Canis lupus familiaris: one gene and its partner. The protein of the gene in region 1 interacts with the protein of each later gene in a biochemical or structural test. Links are inferred from orthologs where the notes say so. Each region holds a gene or a part of one and is shown on either strand. Other genes may lie near its edges.

What was found.
Region 2: of the proteins of MBP (region 1) and PRKCZ, one has a biochemical effect on the other in vitro, tested with the Homo sapiens proteins (2 studies listed by BioGRID). The link is inferred for Canis lupus familiaris from reciprocal best matches to the Homo sapiens genes MBP and PRKCZ.

What each region holds. Positions count from the first base shown.
Region 1 is NC_049222.1:2,911,267-2,914,826, reverse strand, and holds part of MBP (myelin basic protein), read right to left. Parts: intron 1,747-3,560; coding exon 1,639-1,746; intron 1-1,638. UniProt on the Homo sapiens protein: The classic group of MBP isoforms (isoform 4-isoform 14) are with PLP the most abundant protein components of the myelin membrane in the CNS. They have a role in both its formation and stabilization.
Region 2 is NC_049226.1:57,486,949-57,491,190, reverse strand, and holds the start of PRKCZ (protein kinase C zeta type), read right to left. Parts: upstream 2,825-4,242; 5' UTR 2,760-2,824; coding exon 2,689-2,759; intron 2,528-2,688; exon of another isoform or gene 2,389-2,527; intron 1,192-2,388; exon of another isoform or gene 1,177-1,191; coding exon of another isoform or gene 1,115-1,176; intron 479-1,114; coding exon 357-478; intron 1-356. UniProt on the Homo sapiens protein: Calcium- and diacylglycerol-independent serine/threonine-protein kinase that functions in phosphatidylinositol 3-kinase (PI3K) pathway and mitogen-activated protein (MAP) kinase cascade, and is involved in NF-kappa-B activation, mitogenic signaling, cell proliferation, cell polarity, inflammatory response and maintenance of long-term potentiation (LTP).

The sequences.
Region 1 (3,560 bases):
ATGCATGCTCTCGTCCTGCACACTGTTCCCTACTTACTACAGCCTGGCATCAGCCTGGCTCCTCTGTTACAGACCATGAACCCAAACCAACATGGGTGTATTAGGTGAAGCTCATCATGCACGGTAAGGTTCCCTCTCACGTTGTGCGTTCTGTGGGTTTGGACACATGTGCAATGACATGTGTCCACCAGCTCAGTATCGCAGAGTCCTTCCCTGACTGAAAATCCCTCTGTGCTCTGCCTTTCATCTCCTCTGCCCCTAAACTCTGACAACCACTAAACTTTTTATCTCTTTGATGTTTTTGTATCCATAGTTTTGCAAAGCCTGCATTTTTAAACTAAGCACCTCATAGTACTTTAGTCTCAAAGGAGTGAGTTCTTTGCTAGAACATAAAATTCAGCAAGTGGCAGATGCAGTGTGGACCTTGTGACCAGGTGCTAGAGTTGAGCTCCCATGACCAACCTCACCCTGAGCAGGAGGGACGCATCGTTGGGGATAGACTCAGGTCCTCACTGATTAGAGCTCAGGGTCATCTGGGGACAGACTTAGGTCCCTCATGGGTTAGAGTCAGGGTCATCTGGGGACAGACTCAGGTCCCTCATGGGTTAGAGCTCAGGATCATCTGGGGATAGACTCAGCTCCCCATTGCCTAGAGTCAGGATCATCTGGGATAGACTCAGGTCCCTCATGGGTGAGAGTCAGATCATCTGGGATAGACACAGGTCCCCGTGGATTAGAGCTCAGGATCATCTGGGGATAGATTCAGGTCCCTCATGGTTAGTGCTCAGGATCATCTGGGGATAGACTCAGGTCCCTCCCTGACTCCTAACAGCAGTTCTGTGCGTGTTGTGCCAGAGGAACAAGAAGTGTCCCCTTCTTCAGGAGACACTTGGCCACCAAGAAGTCTGAAGGGTACTTCTGCAGAGATGAGGGCCTTCGGTGGGCCTCATGTCACCTGAGGTAGCTCCAGCCTCGGCTGGGCTGTGGTTGGAGTGACAGGTGCCTTGCACCCGGCTCCCACAGATGGGTGGCATTTATGGCTGTCCCCAAATGCCCACAGTCCTGCCTCAAACCCCCAGGCCTGAGACCCAGCCATCACTGTTGCTTCAATGAATGAATCTTCTGTCTTTGACAATCCTTAGACTCAGGTCCTTCATGGGTTAGAGTCAGGATCATCTGGGGATAGACTCAGGTCCCCATGGATTAGACTCAGGGTCATCTGGGGATAGACTTAGCTCCCCATGGATTAGAGCTCAGGGTCATCTGGAGATAGATTCAGGTCCCTCATTGTTAGTGTTCAGGGTCATCTGGGGATAGACTCAGGTCCCCATAGATTAGAGTTCAGGATCACCTGGGGATAGACTCAGGTCCCTCATGGTTAGAGCTCAGGGTCATCTGAGGATAGACTCAGGTCCCCATAGATTAGAGCTCAGGGTCATCTGGGGATAGATTCAGGTCCCTCATCGTTAGTGTTCAGGGTCATCTGGGGATAGACTCAGGCCCCCTTGTGGATAGAGACAGGGTCATGGGGATAGACTTAGCTCCCCAGTGGATGAGGCAGTGGCCAGGCAGCCCCTGACCCCTGCAGTCTTGATTCTCCCTGCTGCCCGGTGCTCACAGGGGGATGGGAGCACTTACAATGTTCTTGAAGAAATGCACTACGGGGTTTTCGTCTTGGGGCCGGCCATGCTGGGACTTCTGGGGCAGGGAGCCATAGTGGGCAGTTCTCGCTGCGTGATGTCCATCCTGGAAGAGAGGGCGCGATGACCTTAGGCCTCCTATCCTCTGCTCTGGCCTCCCTGGGGAAGCTGCCTGTCTTCTGTCCTGGGGATCTGGATTCTTTTGGATCAGGATTTATGCTGGGACATGGCGGACATGACTCAGGACATTCCTGGGGCAGCACATCTGGGGGTGAAGCTGCGATGCATTGGAAGCATCTCCACCCTGGAGCCAGCATCGGGCTGCTTCCAAGTCCCGTAAGCAACAGCACAGGGGGAGAGAAGGGAATTCAAGGGTGAGCCCACCTAAGCCGGGCGCAGGGTCAGTAAGCAGTGAGAGAAAGCTGTTATTTTCCTGAGCTTCTGCTGTGAATGAAGGAAAATACTTAGGAATTACATGTAAAACATAATAGCAAAAAAAAGTCCAAAAAAACCTGCCATGAGCTTTGGAGGGTTCAACACGTGAGCTAGCCTCTGTGTCTCAAAATCAGCATCCCAGGTCACAGTGGCAGTGGTGTCTGCCCAGTTGGGATGACCACTCCCACATCGTGAGCAGGGGGGAAGGACGGGGGAGGGGTTTGGGGCCTGGCGCCTCCCAGCTGTGGAGATGACATGGAACGTGGTGGGCAAGAGTGAGGTTCACAGAGCAGCGGCCTCCATGGCCTCCACCCCCGTGGGCCAACTGTCACCCACACAGGAGTCTGACCACTGGGGACAGGCACCCCGAGCAGCCTCCATGGAGATGGGGTCCACTCCGAAGAGCCTTCCAAGCAAAGGCACCAGGGCCTGGTGAGAGCTTGTGGAGCTGACCCTGGGGCTTTCCTCCTGCTCGCCCAGTGACACAAGCGGGCAGGAATGTGAGTCAAGGTTCCCGAAGGTCAGAGGGCCCTTTCTGTTAGAGCGGATCAGTCACCTGCACTGACGGCCCTCCCTGGTTCCTGTCCACTAGCAGCTCTGTGCGTGTTGTGCCAGAGGAAGCCCTTCTTCAGGAGACACTTGGCCACCAAGAAGTCTGAAGGGTGCTTCTGCAGAGGTGAGCGCCTTCGGTGGGCCTCACGTCACCTGAGATAGCTCCAGCCTCGGCTGGACTGTGGTTGGAGTGACAGGTGTCTTGCACCCAGTGGGTGGCATTTATGGCTGTCCCCAAATGCCCACGGTCCTGCCTCAAACCCCCAGGCCCGAGACCCAGCCATCACTGTTGCTTTGATGAACGAATTTTCTGTCTTTGACACACATCAGTGTATCCGTTCCCCTCTCTGCGACCGACATTAAAACCAAAGCTGGGTGAGCTCCTTCTCTGAGTCCAGACACATGTGCAAACGTGGGTGACCTCTTCCTTCTTCCCTCTGGCCACTGACCACCGGCCACTGGCCACCAGCCACCAACCACCAACCACTGCTGCTTCTGTTTCACCAAATGGATGCCATTGCTCCAGCTGACAGCCCACGGAGAACCCACTGCCCACTCAGGTCTATACTACTTGCCACATGTTTGCCCTGAGTGGCGTGGCCCCTCCCTGTGTTGGGGATGAGGTCACCTGTGCCCTGCCAGCCTCGGTGCAACTCGGCTCCTGCTTCCGTGGGACTTTCTGTGCCCAGCTCACCCTTCAAGTGCTGCTGCCTGGACCGGTGGGTGGTGGGAGGGAGCCAGGGGTTCCGTTACTGGGGAACCCCCGAGCCTCCTTGTCACTCACTCACTGCCGATGCTGCAGGGACCTGCATAATCTGCTTTTTCCTCCACATTCTTGTCTTTCACTGAATTTCCAACTGTCGGGCTTCACTGGCCAATCCCCTTCAATCAGCGCACCAGCCTTGTATGCTTTCCTCCGGTGAAGGAGTGAGC
Region 2 (4,242 bases), on another chromosome or scaffold:
CTCCCCCTTTCCCTGACAAGATGAAAATAAGAAAGACTTATCCTTCCAAATCAGCCACTGGAAAGCCCAGGACAGAACGGAAGAACAGGGAAAGATGGCCAGAGCTGGTCCCAGGGGGACCGGGAGACCTCTGCCGCCCCTTCCCCATCTGCCCTGCAGGGGACTCTCCTCCCTCCCGACCCCCGAAAACACAGCTTCCTTTCCAGTAACCACTCCAATAAGTGATTTCCAGCATCCTGACCCCAAAGACAGGTGTTAACTAGCTTAATGCCATCATTTTAAGGGGGCTGATCTCACTTCATCCACACAGAAGATTTAGAGATTTATAGTCTGACAGACACATGACCCAGGCCTACCTTCATTGTCCACCCACTTAAGGGTGAGCGGGTGCCCCTGACGGAGACTGCACATCTCTCGCACTTCATCACAGAGCTCCTCGAAGGTCATTGCTGCATCTAGGCTGGTGATCAGGATGTCCCTAGGGCAAAGAGGATGGACATGCTTCACCAAGGAGCACATTTAAATCAAATTAAATACTACTGATTGAGTTATTGGTTACATAAATGAAAATTCTCGCAAACAAAATATTACAGGCCTCTCAACAGAACTACTGACCAGTCTCATGGATGCCCCAGCACAGAAAGGAAAGATCTATCCTGTGCCTAGATGTGCCTAGATGGAGAAGTGGGGGTATCAGAAAGCATGGACTGTGGAAGCCGGGCAAGCACTTGCTCAGGCATCAAGTTCAAATTCCACTCAAAAGGTCACATAGGAGGGGTACAGGTGGGGTGGACAGTGCGTCCAGTTCAAGCCCACTGGCTTCATCAGACCTTCCCCCAAAGCTGATGGTGTGAACAGCAGACCAGACTGGAGCTGGAAAGAGGAAGACCCCCATGTGGTTGTTTCTGTGAGCTTAGTTAGACAAGGGCTGAGACTCAATCTGGCAAAGCAGGGTCTCCACCTCCATGGTACATTCATTACCTGGAAATACCCTCAAAACACGGTACTGCTGCATCCTGCTTGGACCCCACTCAGACCCTGGTGACGGCACATCCTCCAAAGGCCAACTTGGGGGCTCCCTATTTTTAACAATGACATCTTCAATGGGTCTGACCTTCTGTTGTGGCCCCGCTGTCCAAAACAACCTCCCAGCAGCCAGGCGGCAGCATAGTCCATCCGGAGTACCAGGACCCTGGAGGCCTGGATAAGTGAGCCCCTTGGGGGAGGGACCAGGGCAGGGGCAGCAGGAGGGAGTGGGGAGCAGGGGTAAGGCAGGAACCTCAGTACAGTCCAGGTACTACCTACCACCAAGGGAGAAAGGAAGAGTGTGGGAGGAGGAGGAGGAAGAGGGAGGGGATGAGGAAGAGAACAGGATGAGTGGACGCCTCATCAGCCCAGGAACCAAACCCAACAGGTCACATTACTGGCAGTAACCAAAGCACTCTCCAGGGGCCAAAGTAGGGGGCAGGGCTGGGGGCAGCAGGCTCCCTCCAGAACTCCCAGGCTCCAGTCCACTTTGCCTGCCCCCACCCCTCCACCCAGTGCCTGACACTGCTTCCTTGAGCCCAGCCTGGGGGCAGGCTGGGGGGCTGGGGGGTGGGGGGTCCCATCTCCACCCACCCCGGGCCAAGCGGCTGGGGTGTGGACTTCCTCACCCTGAGGACCAACTCTGATTTTTCACAAAGTGGCTTATTGCTCAATCCCACAGTTCCTGGCTGGGAAGAGGACTGTCAGATATGGGGACAGGCTTTCCACCGGGTTCACCAGCCAGAGAGCCAACCTGTTCTGGCCCTGCATGAGTCCACAGGCAGACCTCTTCAGGTGGGCTGGCCACGGTCCCCCCAGAAATCACTCCTCCCCAGAGCCCTGTCACCCACTCTGCCAGGTGACCCAGATGACCATGGCAGAAGGCACAGGACAGGTGTGACCTGAGACCCCAAAAGAGGTGCCCTCACCGAGTCAAGAGCCCCAGGCTCCTCCTCAATCTGGAGGATGCAGCAGGAGGCGCACCTCTGGGGAGACCACGGGCGTCAAGCAGCCGCAGCAGCAGGGTTTCCGCTGCCCCCGAGCGCTGGGGGCTGAGGCCGGATCCCGGCCGGGCCGCGGGCGCCGCGCCACCCCCCGCACCACCAGCAGGGCTGCCCCGCGGCGGCGGAGGGTGCGCGCTCCCGGGCGTGGCCCGGCGCGCCCGGCCTCTGACCCCTGAGCGGTGCCCGCTCGCCCCATTTTACCGCGGGCACATCGAGTCCAGGGCGCCGCGCGGGCGCGGAGCGGATCAGAGTCCGAAAGATCGGCTCCAACAGAGCGGCGCCTAGGGACTTAGGGGGCCCCCGCCCCGCCCCGCCCCGCCCCAGTGGGCGCGCCCGCGGGCTGCCCGGTGCCCCTCACCTTCCCCGGGATCGTGCCGCCGAGCCCTCCGGCCGGGTAAACTGGGAAACGCCTAGGAAACCCGGATTTTTACAGCTCGGCCGGCGGTTTTCATGTGACAAAAACTTCAGTGCTCACAGGTCCGTGGCCTTCACGTCCGGCCACCTTCGCAGAGGCAGTGGCAGCGCCGCGCCAGCGCCGCACGGACCCGGGGAGCGAGGGCCCGGCGCGGCCCCCACCGGCGACCCCGCCCGCCCGGGGCGCCCCCTCCCTCCCGCGCGCAGCGGCGGCCGCTCGGGCCCCGACGGCGGGCGCGCTCACCCGCTGTGGTGCGCCTTCAGGCGGACGCGGCAGCCGCTCCCGTGCATCTTGGGGCCGGTCCTGCTGGGCATGGCGCGCTCGGCCGGCCGCGGTCAGCCGTCAGCCGTCAGCCGTCAGCGCGCGGGCCATGGGCACCCGGCGGCCGGCCGGGGCGCCAGGATGGGGCCGGCGGCGGAACGCGGAAGGGCGCGCGCGGCGCGGGGCCCCAGGGCGCGGGGCCGGCCACCTCCGCGGAACCTGGACGGCGGGCGGGCGGGGGGCTCGGCCCGCGGGGGCGCGCGACGGGAGCGCACGGACTCCCGGCGCCAGGCCCGGGGGCGGGGGGTGCGGAGGGTCCGAATATGGCCGACCCGGGGCCCGGCGGGCGGCCAATCGGCGGGACGGGCGGTCCCGGGGCGGGGGCGGTGGCACCTGCGGCCAATGAGGGCGAGGCGGGGCCGCCACCTGGGCCAATCCCCGGGGGTCCCCGCGGCCGCGACCCAATGGCTCGGCGCGGGGCGGTCTACCTGTCGGGCGGGGCGCGGCCCACCTGCGGCCAATGGAAGCGCGCGCGGCCCGGCTCTGCCCGGCAACGGGAGGCGGCGCGCTGCGGGCCCCGCGCTCTGGCCCCTCGGCGAGGTGGGCTCCCGGGGCCGCGCTCCCCGGGGGGGCCCCTCCGCCGCCGCGCCCGGGAGCCCGCTGCGAAGGCGGGCCGTGGGGACTGCCCCATCCCAGACTCACGCAACCGAAACTCCGGCAGTCCGCGCGGACGCGCGCTGCGGGACCCGGGGCGAGCTCGAGTCCGAGAGGTTTGAGCCGCGGAGCCAGCGTCACGAGGACGGTCCGGCCCCGCTGGTTCCCTGGCCCCGGCCGCCCTCCTCCCCGTGCCGAACCCAAGATCCCGCTGTCTACACTAGCTGGCGGTTGCCTCTGCTCCGGTTGACTCTTTGGCCGGGACGAGGACCCTGCGTTTGCCCACGTCGCCCACGATCTTCATTTTTGTTTTGTTTTTTGTTTTAAGATTTTATTTATTTACTCATGAGAGACAGAGAGAGAGAGAGAGAGAGAGAGAGAGGCAGAGACACAGGCAGAGAGAGAAGCAGGTTCCATGCAGGGAGCCCGACGTGGGACTCGATCCCGGGTCCCCAGGATCAGGCCCTGGGCCGAAGGTGGCGCTAAACCGCTGAGCCACCCGGGCTGCCCCACGATCTTCATTTTTGAGTCCACACCTCCGTGGGTCGTCATAACTGCTGCACTTGATCCGGATTAGCGCCTCTGAACACCCTCCCTGCCCGCTCCTCAGCGGTCGTGTCGCTGCCTGGTTGCCTCCACGTGGCCCACACCGGCGTTTGTTTGTAGGACCTCACCTGGGCACCACGTGGGCACCCCAGATTCGGGTCTGCACTCGCTCCTCCCCGCCAAGCCCCCTCCTCCCCTTCCCCACACCACCCAGGGGGCAACCTCTGACCTGGGACTCCAGGCCCGCCAAGCCTTCACTCCTCACCTGGACAGGCTTCTGGTACTGGGTACTCACACTCCCATTCCACGGAGGCTTCCTGGTACCTCCTTGGTACT